Linked DNA regions of Drosophila melanogaster. The protein of the gene in region 1 purifies or fractionates together with the protein of each later gene. This does not show direct contact. Each region holds a gene or a part of one and is shown in the gene's direction. Other genes may lie near its edges. The genes, in order: RnrS, ktub, frm and Nemp.

Region 1 (4,367 bases):
GCTTTTGGGCCACGTATGGGGCACAGATATGGGCAAAGCGCATTGGTCTACTGAATTACTACCATGACCTGCGCCGGACGAAGCAGAAATAGTACAGGAGGCTTGGGGATTCGCCAAGTGAACGGACGGGGAGCTGAGGCAATAGAGCGGTAGCGAGTAGCACTACGCTGTGTCAATAAGAGTGACATCGTTCTGCCTTAGAAGTTCATTGAAATCAGTTAAGTTGAATAAATCGTTGACATCCTGTACTCATGTGGTTTCCCGGCTCTTTTTTGGAACTTGTGTTTGATCCTTCTGATTTCTTCGAATACGAAAAGCTACTTCGTGCCTGCGCTGCTGAATCTTCTCCCTAAGTTCCTCAAGGGATTCTCGTTCTGGAGCGTATGATATGTGCAAGATTCCACCATAGAACTGATGAGCATCGAGCATTTTCTTGGCTCTTCTCGCCACCTCAAGGCGCTCGAACTTCACGGCAAACACATCTGTAAAAGCTTCCAGATCCACTGAAACAAAAGGAACACTATATAAAAAAGATCTTGAACAGGGATAATCATACTTTTTGAAGCCATCTCTGAAGTTACCGAAATACATGATTGCACTTTACCAAATCCTTGTAGTTTCGTCCTGAGATTAGCTTGAAGATTTATTTTAGGTACCCCAAAGATCAGCAAATGACGGGACTCACTAGCAACTGTATAAACCTACAAAGGATAAAAAACACAATAAAAGTACAATAAAACATTGCTATTACTATAAAGCTATTACTAAACTATTACTACTAAACATTACTATTTCCCCACCTTGACAGCTTTCAATTCGCGGCCCTGACGGTATTTCAATCTTGTAGTGCAGTATTCCAGACGTTTGTGGTGTTCAGAAGAAGAGGCTTCCATATTCAGGATATTAAAAACAAAACTACAACTAAACGGATTTGTTTATTATTATTTTCAAGTCCACGATTAAACGTACTTATCGATAAATATCAACAGCCAGCTGTTATGTTATTGTACTGTTATTTACATGATTCGCTGTAATGGAATTCATTCAAAGTTGTTGAATTGAGTATGTTAGCACCTGTTGCATTTCCAAATAATTCGAGATTTCCAAAAAAAAAATTAATTTTAAGTCAATGTCCTTGGAAAAAAATTTTAACTTTGTTTCACCTTGATTTTTTATCTAATTGTAGCAAGAGGACCAAATTTTTTCACTCAAAACTAATTAAGTGGCGTTTCATCAGCTGTTTTCTGGATTAGTCTAGGGTTGTCTCATTGCATGAAATATCGATGATAAAAAAATTTCAAAATTTATTTAGTATTTGAAACTATTAATATTAATATTTTTCAAGTGACAAGCTGGGAAGCTAAACATAAAATTGTGCAGTAAGGATTCGATTTATGGTTTAAGAAAAGAAAACTACCACCCCATAATTGCATTAGATTTACCCTAAATTTATAAAAAGTGAATTGACGCACTCGACAGCCCTGATTTTCCCATAGTTTTCCCATCACCAAAAATGGCGGCAAATCGAAACAGTTTGCCGCCCGGCATAAAACCCAATGTAGCTGTATTTCCCAGATCATTTGCCACACAACTTTCAAACTGTACACTTAATACACGTCGTGGTTTAAGTGAATTTTACCAGAGAATCAGAGAAGCGCCCCTACCTGCTAATAATAATCCATTCAAAAACATCTCAAATGGCGTCCAAGGAAAACATTGCTGACAACATGGAGAAGTTCTCGCTTAAGGTAATCGACACGCAAATAAAGTTCACAGCTATACATAGACGTAATACCGCGATCAGTGCGCTTGTGTTGATTTCCCTAGGGAAAAGTGCTACGCAGCGGAAAAATACTCATGCTTTAGTTGGCCTTCTTTGTTTTTCGTTGTTAACAGAGCCCGAGCAAGAAGATTCTGACGGATAGCACCAACAACGTTCGCAAGATGTCCATTGGACACGAGGCAAACGGACAGTTGGCCAAGGAGTCCTCCACCGTGAATGGCATCGGCAAGTCTGCCAATTCCCTCATGGAGAAGTCCGTAACCCCCTTCGACCCGTCGCTGGAGCCCCTTCTGCGCGAGAATCCCCGACGCTTCGTCATCTTTCCCATCCAGTACCACGACATCTGGCAGATGTACAAGAAGGTGTGTATACCATACATATAGCAAAACACTGTCCATTTGCATTGGTGGTGAAAATCTATTTTTTGGGCGGCAAAATATCAAAAGGGCGGGCATTTCGAGATAAAGCGCGCCAAAAGCCGGTCACGTACTCAACGTGGTTGATTACACGAATCAGACTTTATGATAGCTTCGTTTGGTTAAACAACCCCCTCCCACATTTCTCGACCCTCCCTTTCCGCTGATTCACTGCATCACGGTTTACTCAATGTCAACAATAGCCTTCGTTTTTGGCGGGAAATGCAGCACATAACGATCACATACTATACCATTTTATGTAGCCAATTACATTTCCCCGCCGCTTTTAATTGCTTTGTAGTAACTTTGTTTACATTTTAATTGCATTTTAATTGATAAGCTCGTTGTGCACGATGACATTTCTTGAAAACTTGTTAAAGTGGAAAATGAAAAATAATAAATTTATACAGTAATTATCTCTTTTAAAATTGTAACTTTTTTTTTTAATGTGCAGGCTGAGGCTTCTTTCTGGACTGTCGAGGAGGTGGATTTGTCCAAGGACCTTACTGATTGGCACCGCCTGAAGGACGACGAGCGCCATTTCATCTCGCACGTGCTTGCCTTCTTCGCCGCCTCCGACGGCATCGTAAACGAGAACCTGGTGGAGCGCTTCAGTCAGGAGGTGCAGATCACGGAGGCACGTTGCTTCTACGGCTTTCAGATCGCCATGGAGAACGTGCACTCGGAGATGTACAGTGTTTTGATCGACACTTACATCCGTGATCCACACCAGCGAGAGTACCTGTTTAACGCTATCGAAACGATGCCGGCTGTGAAGCGCAAGGCAGACTGGGCCCTGTCCTGGATCTCCTCCAAATCGGCCAACTTCGGGGAACGCATCATCGCCTTTGCCGCCGTGGAGGGCATCTTCTTCAGCGGCAGCTTCGCTTCCATTTTCTGGCTTAAGAAGCGAGGTCTGATGCCTGGATTGACCTTCTCCAACGAGCTTATCTCTCGCGACGAGGGCTTGCACTGCGACTTTGCCGTGCTGATGTTCCAACACCTGGTGCAGCGACCCAAGCGCGAGCGCATCATCGAGATCATCCGCGACGCGGTGGCCATTGAGCAGGAGTTCCTTACCGATGCCCTGCCCGTCAATTTGATTGGCATGAATTGCGACCTGATGTCCCAGTACATTGAGTTCGTAGCGGACCGTTTGCTCGTGGAGTTGGGCGTTGGAAAGATCTACAACACCAAAAACCCCTTTAACTTCATGGAGATGATATCGCTGGATGGAAAGACCAACTTTTTTGAGAAGAAGGTGGGGGAGTACCAGCGCATGGGAGTGGTCAGCAACCCCCTGGACAACGTGTTCACCCTGGACGCGGATTTCTAGGGCTGGCCCCGGACATCATTGTTGCAATTTAAACCTCTCAAGGGCTGGCTTCTCATCCTTTATATTTTAATCTGACGGCAATTATATGTAGTCCGTTTTAATTTTAACATAGGCTAAGAACAATCACAGACCTTCAACACATTCACCTAATCATTTACTTGGACCTCCAATTACGTTTATAATACTATCTACACACTTGACTTTTACGAGGAGCGTACCTTTTCCGAATTCATTGTACATACAACATTTTAAATAAATTTATACATAGACAATTATTAAGCACTACAAGTAAAATTGAGTTTTAATTATTCTGAAAAAAATCTTCAAAAATTACTGTTTATGCACGATTATATAATAAGAAAATCAATTTCAAAAAAATTTATAAAAAGGATTGGGAAAATTTAAGAATTTAAATAATTCGAATTTCAAATTTTCGATTTCAGTTATATATATGGTAGGTAAACTTATCGATAGTCACGGGCATTTTTACTATCAGCTGTGCTGAACAATCCCATTCGCTGTTTTTATCAATTTGGATAAAATTCTTGTTATTCAGTTATTACCATAAAAAGTATTAGATGTCAATAACAGGAGTGGGCGATTAAATCAACCCAATTCAGCTAGGCGCCCTAATAGTTGATAAAATGCGAACAGTGCATTAAATTGTAGGCGGAGGACCAGTGGCGATAAGTGAATCCAGTCACATGGACAGAAGGTGGAATCCAGAAAAAATCGAGGAGCAGAGCTCCCTCTTGGCAGCGGAATATTCCTCCAGCTCGGGAGCAGCTGCTTCCGGATCCGAGGACGAGACGGTCACCACTAGTGGAGCGCT
Region 2 (4,704 bases), 9.1 Mb from region 1:
TCATCGGCATCCCCATGTTCCTGATCGTGCTGGCCGATCTGGGCAAGTTATTCACGCGCTGCGTCAAGTTCCTGTGGGTGTATGTGCGACGGATGTACTACACGCGCTCCTGCCGCCGGATACGAAAGCAGCAGCAGATCCGGAGCGCCATGACAGGCTTCAATACGATGTACGACATGGCCATCCGCAGGCCGAGCATGTTCTTCAGCAACTCTGCGCCAGAGAACGATGAGGAGTCGCAGGCGGATGCCGAGGCCGCAAGATCGGTGGGCACCTCGCACCCGGAGACACCCACATCACCCTATCCAGAGACCTTCGAGGTGGACGACGAGTTCAATTTGCCAGTGTCGGTGGCCTCGCTGCTGCTCATTACGTACATCCTCCTAGGATCCTTCGGCTTTCTAATGATGGAGCCCAGCTGGACTCCACTGGATGCCTTCTACTACGTGTTCATCTCGATGTCCACAATTGGGTTCGGCGACCTGGTGCCCAGTAATCCCTTCTACGTAATGGTCAGCATGATCTATCTGATGTTCGGCTTGGCCCTGACCTCCATGTTCATCAATGTGGTGCAGATCAAGCTGAGCGATCACTTCAAAATGGCCAGCGCCAAAGTGGGCGCCACCATTGGCATGAACATGACCAGCGAGCTTGGTGATGAGGGCGGCTCCCAGGTGAAGACTCCCTCCGAGCTTGCCTCGGTGCACGGTTCGCGACTGGACAGGATCGAGGAGGATGGCCAGGAGGCGAATGGCAATGGCCACTCCCCGGTGCCACCACTCACCTCGATCCTGCGCGCACCGCGTCCTCTATCGCCGGCGTCCAATGGAGTGGATGCTAATGGAGTTGGAGCCGATGCTGTTGGAGCTGGGGATGTTACTCCGCCACCTCTGCTGCCCAGGCGTCAGGTTTCCGTGGATCCCCAGCCGCCGGCGGAGGGGGAGAACAAGAAGAAGAAAAAGCACAGGTTTTTCTAGAATCCCTGGGATCTTCCGCCTCCAAACAAAAAAAAAACCGACAAAGTTAACGTGTAAGAAACCTCAAAAATGACAAGGCAATTTCAATCGAATTTACCGTAACGCGAAACTCTATATTCATTTATTTGTTATTTAATTTTACTCACCATCATCGTAGCATAAGTCTAATGTTAATGAAATAAAGCGCGCGAGTTGACAACGCAAATTGATGTTTTTAATTGTTGTAAATTCCGCTTAAGGATCATAATCATAAAGTTGTATAATTTTTCAACACTCTATTATCCTGTTATCAGCGTGGTTTTTTGCTCAATCCGGAATCGAATTGCCAGATGCGTATGCTTTGTACGGGAATGCATCCCAAAATCCCAGTAACAGGGAGTCGGGGGCGCGAATCCAAATGCAGTCGCAGTCGGCAGCTGCACATCTGTCGCTCGTAGGAAATGGAAGAGGAAGCAGCCACAGGAGGCGTTGTGCGGAGAGAGAGAGAGAGAGGGAGAGAGGGAGAGACCCATTCCCATTGAGAGCGAGTTGTGGTTCTCTCTGCCTCTCTTTCGCTGACACACGACAGGATGGCATGCTTCGCACTCCTGCTTCGGCTGGCATTCGTGTGCATGTTCCGTTTCCATTCCGTTCCGCTACGAGCACTTCGCCTGAGTTGACGGCTTCTGTTGGACGCCCAGTTGTTGTTTTGGCAGCGTGCGGTTCGGTCGACGGGTTACATCGCCTTCTCTCCTCTACCAAAATAAAGAGGCGCCAAATTCAATCAATTGGACAATATCACACGCAACTCAACGGGCACGAAAGTGTTTGTCAAACAACATAGATTGTATAACATTATAAATATATGCATATTCAGGCGGTACTCGCTCAGTGGCTAAAGCAAACATTCAGTGCCAGCGATCCGGAGAATTCCGATCGATCGCGTCGGTACAAAAAAAATTGAGCGAGAACAGGAAGAGCCGGCTGTTGGCTTCAGTCTACAAATCCTCACCCTCGTGAACACCCCTTGATTTTTTTGTTGTCGCGTGTGCTGCCGTACTACACTACCACAAACTACAAAATATATACCATACCATACAAACTGACGCCAGGTGTGCTAAATTCATAGATTCTTCTTCAATTATTTTGGTGCCCCATCGGTTTTTGTTTTGCTGCATTCATTCGCATTCGAAAAGTCGCTCTTCAACGCAAATCCCAAAACAGCTGTCACTCCCGAATATTTGCCAAATGCCTCTTCATCGGATCATCTGAATCGCGCGTAGTTAAGTGAAAATCGTCAGAGGATTTTGATTGCCTTCTGAAATCTACAGCCATAACTGCAAAAATGTCCGGAATCAACAGTCGTAATCAGAAAATGGAACAGCAGGTAAACCCAACACTCCAATTTGGCAGATCTTTTCTAGATTTTACCAAACCTATAATCTTTGATAATGTAATCTCTGAAATTTGAATTTCTTTAAATGTGTCATTCATATCCATTGTGTTTGATAATCTTCATAAAGTGGACACATTAAACCAACGATCCTATATTATAACAAAACCAATCTATACATACGACAGCGAAATTTATGAACAATTTAATGGCTACTTGTATTAAACTTTTGCTTTAGCTAAGAATTCTTTAAGAACTTTTTTTCAATTGACCATGAATCAAGGCAAGTTAGCACTGGCCTTTTAACTCTTCCAGCCCGACGGTTCGTGAATGTGGTCTAGAAACAAGAAAATCCACTCCTTTCTTGGAAAACTCGGGCAGCCCATAGCAATCAGCGCCAGCAGAAAAGGGGCCATCAGCCGGCATTACACGGAATTGTTCACTTTTTGGCCTCAAAGTTGACCGCTCTAAATGTGCCACCCCTTAAAGGCAACAAAAAAAAAAGGAAAATGAAACACCCAAGTGGCTTAACGCCTTCTCCAAGTGGTTTTGTTGTGCCCGTTTGCTCGTGGCCAGGTGTTCGTCCGTTGTCCTGGCAACGGCGTCCAAATAAATCGAAACGAAGCTCCTGGTGGTGGTGCAGTTGCTGCAGTCCGATTCGATTGTCATTGGCCCTAATTATGTTGAGTGGCACGGAACCAAAAGGCACCCTACTCCACCCACTGGCTCATAAATCGAATCACTTCGATGTGGTTGAGTTGGGCTGCCAAGTGTGGGAGGTCCTGGGTCCTTCGAGTTACTTCGATTTCGTGCCGCTATGGCTTATAAAACATTGAGCAGCTATTGACAGCTTCTTCGAATGGGAGGACATTTTGAAAACATTATGCCAAGTCATTTCAGCTACAAATGAAATAGCTTGAAAGAAATCGAAAATAAGTGGAAGCCATGGGAGCGCATTTCATTTTGATTGAATTTTAATTTTAATTATAAATTCACATTGAATCATCTCACAAATTCCCATGAATTAACACATTTCGTGATTACCATTTTAAAGCAGCTTGTTTGAATAATGTTTGCTTTATCACATTCATTTTCAAATGCGAGTATAAATATGATAAATATTCACTTGCTGAGTCAAGCTAATTTTCTTTGAACGTGTTAGCATAGAACATTAATCCTTCCGAACAATCGTTTTGGGTCATTTTCTCGAGCTTAAGCCAACACAAAGTTATATCCGCCATAAAAAAGAGAATGTGGCACAAAAAAACGGAGTCAATTTGCACTTGGCATAAATCAACAGAAAGATATATGGCAGTCAACTCATAAAGTGGTCGCTAAATATACACAAAGGATTAATAAAGTCTTCGGCCTGGACGCCAGCTAACCCACAATGTAGTATCCTTTCTTTGATTGGTGTCCTGCGTCACTATGGGCAACTACCCACACACACACACACACAGATATGTCCAGGCAGACAGGATTCTATAGTATCCCCATAGGAACACAGACAGACAGCGCAACTAGAAATATACACAATACCATTCGTTGGCATTGTTTTCGTATTGCCATCACCCATGGAATACCATTAAGCGAGGCCACAAAATCGATTCCCGCCTGGTGACGAGTCCTTCAGCTTCGCGAGGAACTGAGCCGCAGGATAATGCCCAGCAATAAGTCACACAATTGTTCACTACTTCCACATATGAATATAATATTTGCTTTCCGCAAATCGCTCAAGCTTTTCCTCACGCAAGTCGTAAAAAGAAACATTTCGGCCAAAAAAAAAGGATGTGACGCACCGACTTTTTCTAATAAGTTACTTGCGTAGATTAGGGTGAACCTTTAAAGCTTGAGAAGTGATTAAAAAATATGATTTGACTAGAGTAGAGCTCAAGCAGAAAAGAGACCCGCCATCTAACTGACCATATATAACTTTCTTTTGATCAAATGAACAAAGTTTATTCGGTGTACTTCCAACTGCTGTTTTTAGCATTAAGAAAAAGGTCCACCCTAATATGTATATTAGCCTAACTTCACTTAGCTTTACGGCTTTTGCCCTTTGTTTCGAGCCTGTAATTTTCGTTCTGTTGCTTCAAATACGAGGTTCTTGACCCAACGAGAGGAAAAGCCGGCTAAAACGAAATCGAATTTACCAAACTTTTCGTCTGACAGCCAAAGTCGAGATTTAATATTTAATAAGAATACGATACCTTATTAAATGTGCATTTGGAGCTGTCATTATGAACTGATTGATTGTTTCGGTAAGAGCTGTATTATTATTTGACTTCTGTCTCAAATTACCCGGCACTTGTAGAATCAAAATAATAACCACAACTATTTGATTAAGAATTTTGT
Region 3 (4,807 bases), on another chromosome or scaffold:
ATTTAATAATGATTTGAGAATTTTGAAGGCTTAGCAGGATAAAGATATAGTAACCGCTTACTAAGCGATGTCAAGGTCATCACTCGTGGCAGGTAATGTAAATGGAATGTCGAGAATGCATTTAAGTATTTGACTGTTCACGTTGTTTTTTAGTGAGTCGATTGAATTAAGTTTTATTATGCATCCTTGCTTAATATTGCCGTTGGCGAATTGTTTAAAATGTATATTTTTTAATCTTTTACTAAGCCCACGTAGACATATTTTACAAAACGAACCCCAGCTGCGTTGGATGGTTGCATGCTGAGCCAATTTTGGATTCGATTGGGTTGCCCTTTTCTTAAGTAGGGTATCTTAGGGTATCTTAAAGGTTTAATAAAAAGTCTTAAGCAATATAAATTGTATAAAAAAATAAAAGATATTTATATTTATATATTTATTTATATATTCCAATTTTAGCTAATTATTTATATTTAAATTAATGTCCATTATTTTAGTTGTGATTAAAGGGTATTTAGCTTTTGCTTTCTCCACATCGCTTGCTTCCCTTACTCATTTCTGTTTTTATAGTCGAAAATACTCATACATTGTATTCATTCGGTGGGCTTTGTCCTTGACTTAAGCATTGTCATTAACTTCATCCTGTTTAATGTCCAAGAGTGAAGAAGCTGATTATTTTCTGTGTCAATTGCTGCATTCAAGAGCAAGCAATGTTTTCGTATTAAGCTGAAATTGTTTCCCCTTTTCTGGCAGTCGGTCCGGTTAATCCGCAAAATGTGCTTTAAATGTCAGCAACTCTTTAAGAAATGAATGCAAAATAAAAAAAAAGAATTGAGAAACATTCTAGCTAAGCGGATCATCAAACGGAAGTGTTTCGCAACTAAATGAAAAGGTGTCTGAATTATGGCAAATCGATTGGTAATCCTATCTGACATTGGGTTCGTGAGCTCATAGATTAATTGCTTAGCTACTGTGTGAGTTCATATCAGGATTTAGAAACATCTAAATTCTGGCTCATTTGTGATCAATAGCTGCAGAGGTATTTTAATTATGCCCCTTGCATACACAGGAAGAAAATTAGTATATGCGGAAATCGTGCGTCAAGCATAATAAATCCAAGCTCCCCTGGTTTTTTGCAAAGCTTTAATTAAATCAATAAACCATCTAAATAATTTTTTAGCAAAATATATAAACCCTCAACGACGGGAGCCAGAAAAAGACGACAATCTATCTATATCTGCGTATATCTGAAATATCACTCTTCGATTAACGATAAAATTAAATCAAAATAAACACGAAAAACTCGAATTTTCAATTAAAGACAAAAAACGTTCTTTGAACAAACAAACACGCGAGACAATAAAACATAAAAGAGAATAAATAAGATGAGGAAAAAAATCAATCTCTAAATATTAATGAACCCCAAGAACCTGAAAGTGAACTTAAATTCTTGAGACACGCAAGCAGATCCTAGAGAATTCCGAGCGAGAGAGTTCGAATCGCCGAGGAGAGTGATCAATATATCAAGTATACGACCCGTGGCTTAGTTCGAGCTCATCTCTCCGGCGCTTGGCCAAATAAATTAACGAATCCGGCGAAAAAAGCAAACTCGTTCCACTCACACTCAGACACACACACACACACACTCACGCACTTTAAGCCAGGTATCTGTATGGGTTAGGAGCTGCTCTCAAGTACGATTTTTAGTCTTTTTTTTGTGTCGAGTGTGTTTTTTCGCCTTTTTGTTTTGCGTCTGCCTCTGTTTATATGGCTAAGACTCGATGCGTTCATCTTCAGTTCGTCCACATCGGTCACCACGGTATGAGCTCTAGTTTAGGCTCCTAAAAGTAAATACTAAAACACTACCCAATCACTTGTGATCGATCAATGGCTATAGCAGCCGCAAGAGAACTGTACTAATTGCAAGGATAAACAAGACGGAATATTTGCAAATATTTCCAACCTTATAGTGCGAAACTGTGTGCCTGCCTGCGATTCAATATAAAACTAAAATAAGCATTTTCTTCTTTTCAAGATTGGAAAAGGGATAACTGAGTTTATTCCATTGTAAAATTCAAAACACCTAAATATTTACTGGCGTTTCTTGTGTCAAAAAAAAAACATAAAATTCGTTGCAAAATGGCGCGTGCAGCTCTGTGCATGGTAAGTTAAATGAATACTCAAGAAAAAAAACAATTACTTTTAATTATTCGATTTTGAAAAACGTACATATTGTTTAACGTCCAATTGCCAAACGAAAAACGATTGTTGTTTCTTAAATTTGGGTGTATAAACAAATTTATGTCTTCAGATGACCTTCGATTTGATTGTTATTTCAACTGATATTTTGTAAAGACATTTAGCAGTTGGCTAAAAATATTGTCAAACATTAAATGGTAATAAAAACGTCTGCTAAGTGTGTTTGATCACATTCGAATATCGAATAGAGTGCATGGCAACCAAATTTCAAACGCTTACGAGCTACAAACTGCATATAGAATATTTGTACAACTCATAACTGATATTTAAGGCGGAATTCCGCATTTAACGAGCGTTAACAAGTCCGGGTCAAATTATAACTATTTCGGAAACCCATTTTTCTGTACAATTTATTTACACTAGCACGGGCGCGAAGGCGAATTTGTTGGAGAAACGTGCGGTAATAATACTAATAATAATAATAGTAATAGCCAACCGGCATTTTTCTGGGCAAACAAATACGAATACCGGCAATTTCGAAACGATGCGATGCAAACGCAGGCACTTCTGTTTGCTTTGGCACACAACACAACGCAGAAGCAAAAGTAATGCCCAGTTTTTATTTGACTTGAATTTTTTTGTGCTGTTTGGAATCGAATCGATACTCGGTACAATTTTGTTGTTTTTAGCCAGGGTTAGAAGATTAGTCAACGGACAAAAATGCGCCAGTAGGGAAGTACGTTGTTTACCGAAAATAACAAATGTCTGGGTATTAAACAAAGAGATTCAGAAAGAAGGAGAGAGCTGTTTTTGTCATTGTCTGCATTATGCAAATTTCCATTCATTTTTTATCATTTGCTGTTTTTTTTGTTACCTAACGGAGCTACATATTAAATGTGCAAAAGTTGAGGCTAAATAAAATCGTGAGTCAAGGACCCGCTTCATTAGGAAATACTATCGCAAAAGAGTGTTAATTTGATTATGGCCAAAAAATTCTTAGATAATGCCTATCCAAAGCTGTTAATTGTTTTTGCTTGTGACTGCTACTCATTTTTTTTTTGTTTGTACCTGCGATTTTATGAGCACCGAAATTCCCCAAAAGAGGTGTCATAATGATGCTCTAAGTGAGCCGAGATACTATCTCCATTCGGCGTAGAAAAAATGGATTCAGTCTGTGGCCCTTGTCACCTGCCAAAGTGACCCCATCCACGATGGTTATTTGGGGTTAAGCTTTGCGGGCGCTTCGGTATTTATTACCATTGCCTGCGGCATAAGCCTCTGTTTTGGGCCAAGATATTCTGCCAGACACGTACTCGGCCAACAAACAAAAACGGGTAAAAAAAAAAAAATAACAAACCAAGTCGGGGGAGAAAATGCCCAGCGGCACCACGTTGACAGGGCAGGGCATCGCATCTCATCTTGGCCCACAATTCTTTTTATTATAAATTTGTTCTCAGCTCGGCTTGTGCGGAATTTTAAAGAGTCCGCGGAATTTTCTTTGCCGCCATTTGGTGTAGTGCAATTTGAAGAGATTTAATCGCCCAGTAGTAGTTGCCTTACTGAGTTGAGTCATAAAATGGAGTAGCCAAAGTCGAGTTTGGCATGACAAACAGTTGGCTGCTGGCAAATGGGGCAATTGAAATAAATTACATTTATTTGGTTGTAAAATGGAGCGTTAGGCATGTCCGATGAATAGTTAAATCTTTACAGTTACAAGAGCCAAAAGGGTTATTATTTAAATTAAAGTGCGAATGAAGGGCAGAGCACTTCTGCTTTGCCAGGAAACAACGATACAAAAACCAGTTAATGAACTTTTATTCAGGCTGGGCCAACTTCCAGCTAGAACAACATTACGTAAGAGTTCATGGAACTTCATCGTCTCCCATTCACTTTTATGGCTCATCGGTTCTTACTATTTCTCCTACTCGCCAGTTAACTTTCGATATTTAAAGGCCCAAAAGGTCGGCTTTTATGCCGCACTAATTTATGTCGCTTCTCTGTTGCCATATGTTTGTGGCCAATTTCAATATGGAATCTGTATCTAAAATACGAATCTAGAAATGCAAATTAGCCCTCGATCGCTAGTCGGCGATTAGGAGAGACAATCGCCAAAGGCGGCAGCTATGGAGATATAAGATATATAGTTTTGGTGCCGATGATGGAGGAAGTCTTTGGGGCTGGTTTTAAGTAAAAACGAAAACGCTATACAAAGTGTATTCATTAAGCTGCAGCCAAATGCCAAGAGTTGAAAGTAAAAGTTTTTAAAAATAATATGATGTCATTCGGGATGCTCAACCGTGCCAGGCCCAACGGTTTATTTTTTAATTGCTTTAATAAATCAGAACAAGTCCAGTGGAAGTTCAGTGACAGTCGACTATACATTCGTTGGACAAATTCCCAGCTATTGTCTCGCATCAAACTGGCTAATTCGTTTGCCTATCGATGGGTTCTGATCTCATTAGCACTTTTCTGCTCTGCAAAGAATTCTAGATGCGTCGCTAATTAAATTCAAGTCTGGATTAACTGGAAAATCCAAACCTAAAGGCCATCGCCCACAGCTGGTTATACTTGTTCCGCCGAATATTTTCGGTTTGATTAAAATTGTTTTTAT
Region 4 (4,052 bases), on another chromosome or scaffold:
TTGTGCTGCTTCAGCCAATCGGGCAGCGTCTTCCATTTGCGCCAGTGAAATGCCTCTTCAGCCACCTCGCCCACCACCAAGGCGGTGGCCTGGACGACGCCTTTCATCCACTCGAAGTGCAGCGGCAGTCCGTGCTCGTCCTCATCCGGCGCTGGTACCCCATAGTTACCGATCAGTGGATAGGTAAGCACCAGGATCTGACCACTGTACGATCGATCCGTGAGCGCCTCCGTGTAGCCAACCATGCCCGTTTGGAAGACCACCTCGCCACCAAAACCCACTTTGGATTCATTCTCCGAGGGAACGTAGCCAAAGGAGTACCCGGGCAACACTGTGCCATCCTCCAGTGCGAGGTAACAGTCCGTAGAGGCCATATTGGACGAGTTGCTGGGGAGGATTGGAAACCATAGGGTATTCTTTAGTACCTGTCACTCGAAAACCGTCTTAAATAAACGAGCAAAGTTAATTAATTAAAAGATCATATCTCTACGAAGGCAAGTAGACACAATATTGAGTCGAAAATCTGATAACAATATTCGGCGACTCTGGGAACTTTACTTAATGAGTATATGCTATGACTATGCTATATGTTTACGCAGAGCGCGTGCATACCCTCGATTTTAAATGTAATGTAATATAATTCCACAGGTTATCTTGTTCAAAAAACACATGTGTTTATAAACACACCGTCACACGCACACAGTTTGCCGGCCCAAGAAAATATACAAAGAATCCAATAGGAAGCCGCGATAGATGAATGTATGCATGTATTTAACTGTCTGGCAACATGTTGAGCGGGGCACAACACGGTTCTGATTGGGAATGGACACTGCTTATCAAGCGTTTCAAGTTCCTGTTGTCATTTGATATTGCCATTCACGGTTTGTTTACACGATGACTAGCGGCGGAGAAGAAAGAGGAAGAGCGAGTGTGAGAGGGTGCGTTTTGTGTGTGCGTAAGCACGTGTGAGAAGTTTGGATCCAATTGGAAACCGGTTCGGTCAGCAAATGAGAATAACAATAACATTGACTTTAACTTTGAATTGGACTTTGGGCAGGAATTGAGGATTAACCAACTGAGAATCCTTAAGCTACGATGCATTAGTATCGCCATCAAGTTATCCTTTTCCCATCTGCACCCGTTACAACTACAGCTCACTTACGATTCCGTGTACTTTCAAGCGAAGCTCTCTCTTTGCTGCACTTGTAGTTGTGAACACGTTTTGGTTTCGACTTTAATTCGATTGACAACTTGATTTGTTTACTTTGCGACACCGCTTTTAGAGCTGGTTAACTTCGCACTGCTCGGATATGTTTAGTTTGAGCATTTAACTGTGTTTGCTTGCAAATTGGCTCCAATTAACGTCTGGAAAATCAAAGTCGAACAACTGAATTCACCGCCTTGGTTGAATCGGAATCTTCGTGCATTATGTGCTAAAAAATGCCACAGCAAGAGCTTAGCTCGGCGGTGTGGAACTTTACTAGAAGTAATATTGCAGGTTGGGAACTTGGCAAGAACGTTATATATTCATTTATTGTTATGAATAAGATAAGATATTTGTAATAATATTAGCAAACATGTTTAAATGGGGTGTTCTGCAAAGTATTCCAAAGGAAATAAATAATCCACAATTAAATGGTTAGTCACAAATTTGAAATCACAACAGTGTAGTCACACACACACCTATCGATACATTTTTCTTACGTTACGATATACTGCCCGTCCCGTCGTGAGTGAGGACATAAACCAAAGCGGCGTTGCTTTTTCATTCGATTCCTTAAAGTAAAGTAAACATCAAAACATCAAGCATAAGCAAGTCAGCATTTAACAAGCGAACGTCCTGCGAGAGCAACAGACTGAAAGCGCACTGATTGATAAGATTAACGCCATTGCAACCGTTCATAATGCATTCGGCTGGACTACTGATGCTAACCGTGGCTGGATATTTCACATCGGGTATTCCTGGCAATACGGCTTCCTCGGACGTCGCCTACCTGACGCCGGGCACATACATCAATTTGTCGGAGAACATCTTGGGACTGCAGACTCTGCGCACGTTCTGCTATCCGGGTAAACGGCTGACGGTGTCAAGTCTCTTCGAGACTGTGGAGTTCGTCCTGGCCATCGGGAGCGATGATTATTCCCAGTACGGTGGGAAGACGCCGGAGGAGGTGTTGCAGCACTACAAGGACAAGCAATCGCTGTTCAGCATCACCCTGTTCGCGCAGAAGCGCCAGCTGCTGCAGCTCTCGCCCTTCGAGCAGCAGTGCATCGGGATTTCCTCCCGCCAGGCGTACACCGTCATTCTGAATAGCATTCCGCTGGATCTGTGGCGTCTCGCACAGTTCGCCGTCGGCATACTGATCCTCTTCAGCGCCCGGCGGCTAGCAAAGAACAGTGTGTTCTACTATCTGGTCGGCATTGTCATCGGCATATGCGCCTCCCTGCTGGTGGTCATCTATTTGGCCGCCAAACTCTTTCCGCGACGTACCATGATGTATGGCGTCCTAATTGGCGGCTGGACCATTGGCTTCTATGTGATCAAACAGCTGGCGGACAATCTGCGTTTGATTCTGATCACCTACCGCGACCATGTGCTGGGCTATCTGGTGATCACCGGACTGATCTCGTTCCTGGTGCGTAGTCACTTGATATTCCCTTTTGATTAGATAACCCCAGCTAATTGCCTCGATTATTCTACAGATCTGCTATCGCATTGGTCCGCCCAAGAATCCTCGATCGCAAACCATCGTCATGTGGGTGCTGCAGGCCATTGGCGCCGTTATGGCTTACTTCAGCAGCTGGCACACCAGCGCCGTGATCTTCATCATGGTGCTGGTCTTTGTGGCCCACTACTTCCCCATTTCGTGGACGAACCAGATCAAGTTCATGTATCGCCGCCGTTTTCCGCTAAAGAGGCGCATGCTCACCCAGGAGGAGTACGAACAGCAGACGGCCGTGGAGACCTCGAAATCGCTGGCGGACCTGCGCAAGTACGTCAACAGTCCGGAGTGCAAGCAGTGGGCGGTGATGGGCAAACTGCGTGATCCTTTGCGCTTCGCCTCGTTCGCCAATGGAGCACCGCATCTGGACGACGAAGAGATCGAGGACCACTCGCGCACCATCGAGGAGTCCATGGATGCGGCGCCCGAGGAGGAATCAGTGGAGGAACCTGAGGAGGATAAACCAGCGGAGTTACTGCCGCTGCCCAACTCGCAGTTCCGCTATCAACAGGCCGCCCGCAACTCGGAGCCGGAGCCGGAGTCGGAGTCCGATGACAGCGAGGAGGAGGAGTTCTTCGAGCAGGAGGTGGACCTTCGGCAAGTAGTACAATAACGGACGAACAGCTCAACCACAAGGGGAACCACTGATTAGGCTTAATTGAAACCATTGACCACCACGTTCTATGCTGTACCGTTCTGTAAAATTTGTTTGTTTGGTTACCCTTTCTAATATTTGTATAATCACTTGCAGACTGAACGGAAACACACATATTAATACAAATTATATATTTAATTATTCATGACTGGCTAGGAATAAAAACACTTATACACTAATGCATAAGTTTATTTGTTGCAAACATTCCAGGGTACAGCCATCCCGCTCATTTTGGCGGAGCACAGGCGATCGGTAGCCACTGGCAAGCCTCCGATGGCGGCGTGTGCATCTGGCCGGGCAGCATCTTCACCAGACGACGATCGTCGTCGAACTTTTCGGCAGCACAGAGCGTGAGTTCGCGCTGCCGGAAGATGAGTGCGTCGCCCGCGTAGGCGATGGTCCAGGTGCTGGTCGAGGAGCTGGGACTGCCGGAGCGCAGGGCGGCCAAGCGATTGCCCTGGCTGGGATCGACGAAGTAGTACCACTTGAAGAGCTCGCTACGCAGCGTGAAGAGCGGCGTGGAGTGCTGCTCCTGGACGAAGGCGCGTGTCAGGCCCGCGGTATCGGTGAAGTTCTTCTCGCGCCAGGAGAACATCTGCCGCCCATTCAGACCGTAGTTCCACTCGTCCGTTATGGTCGTGTAGATGTACTCGCGATCGGAGCGACTCAGCAGG

The links.
Region 2: the proteins of RnrS (region 1) and ktub purify together in Drosophila melanogaster (affinity purification with mass spectrometry, with the first as the bait; one large-scale study listed by BioGRID). This does not show direct contact.
Region 3: the proteins of RnrS (region 1) and frm purify together in Drosophila melanogaster (affinity purification with mass spectrometry, with the first as the bait; one large-scale study listed by BioGRID). This does not show direct contact.
Region 4: the proteins of RnrS (region 1) and Nemp purify together in Drosophila melanogaster (affinity purification with mass spectrometry, with the first as the bait; one large-scale study listed by BioGRID). This does not show direct contact.

The regions. Positions count from the first base shown.
Region 1 is NT_033778.4:11,982,597-11,986,963, reverse strand, and holds RnrS (ribonucleoside diphosphate reductase small subunit), read left to right. Parts: upstream 1-1,570; 5' UTR 1,571-1,697; coding exon 1,698-1,748; intron 1,749-1,896; coding exon 1,897-2,145; intron 2,146-2,653; coding exon 2,654-3,535; 3' UTR 3,536-3,819; downstream 3,820-4,367. Other genes in the region: rho-7 (rhomboid-7), read left to right, coding at 2-92; CG34231 (uncharacterized protein), read right to left, coding at 250-503, 557-701, 801-893; GalT1 (beta1,3-galactosyltransferase 1), read left to right, coding at 4,240-4,367. UniProt on the Drosophila melanogaster protein: Provides the precursors necessary for DNA synthesis. Catalyzes the biosynthesis of deoxyribonucleotides from the corresponding ribonucleotides.
Region 2 is NT_033778.4:21,100,275-21,104,978, forward strand, and holds the start of ktub (king tubby), read left to right. Parts: upstream 1-1,653; 5' UTR 1,654-2,301; coding exon 2,302-2,343; intron 2,344-4,704. Other genes in the region: CG34396 (uncharacterized protein), read left to right, coding at 1-977. UniProt on the Drosophila melanogaster protein: Functions in regulating protein trafficking, retinal maintenance and lipid storage. Protects photoreceptor cells R1 to R6 against light-induced retinal degeneration by stimulating norpA-mediated endocytosis of the rhodopsin ninaE (Rh1).
Region 3 is NT_037436.4:5,548,137-5,552,943, reverse strand, and holds the start of frm (farmer), read left to right. Parts: upstream 1-1,784; 5' UTR 1,785-2,136; coding exon 2,137-2,160; intron 2,161-4,807.
Region 4 is NC_004354.4:16,652,720-16,656,771, reverse strand, and holds Nemp (nuclear envelope integral membrane protein), read left to right. Parts: upstream 1-1,756; 5' UTR 1,757-1,904; coding exon 1,905-2,636; intron 2,637-2,703; coding exon 2,704-3,336; 3' UTR 3,337-3,552; downstream 3,553-4,052. Other genes in the region: r (rudimentary), read right to left, coding at 1-374; CG32573 (uncharacterized protein), read right to left, coding at 3,605-4,052. UniProt on the Drosophila melanogaster protein: Contributes to nuclear envelope stiffness in germ cells. Required for male and female fertility.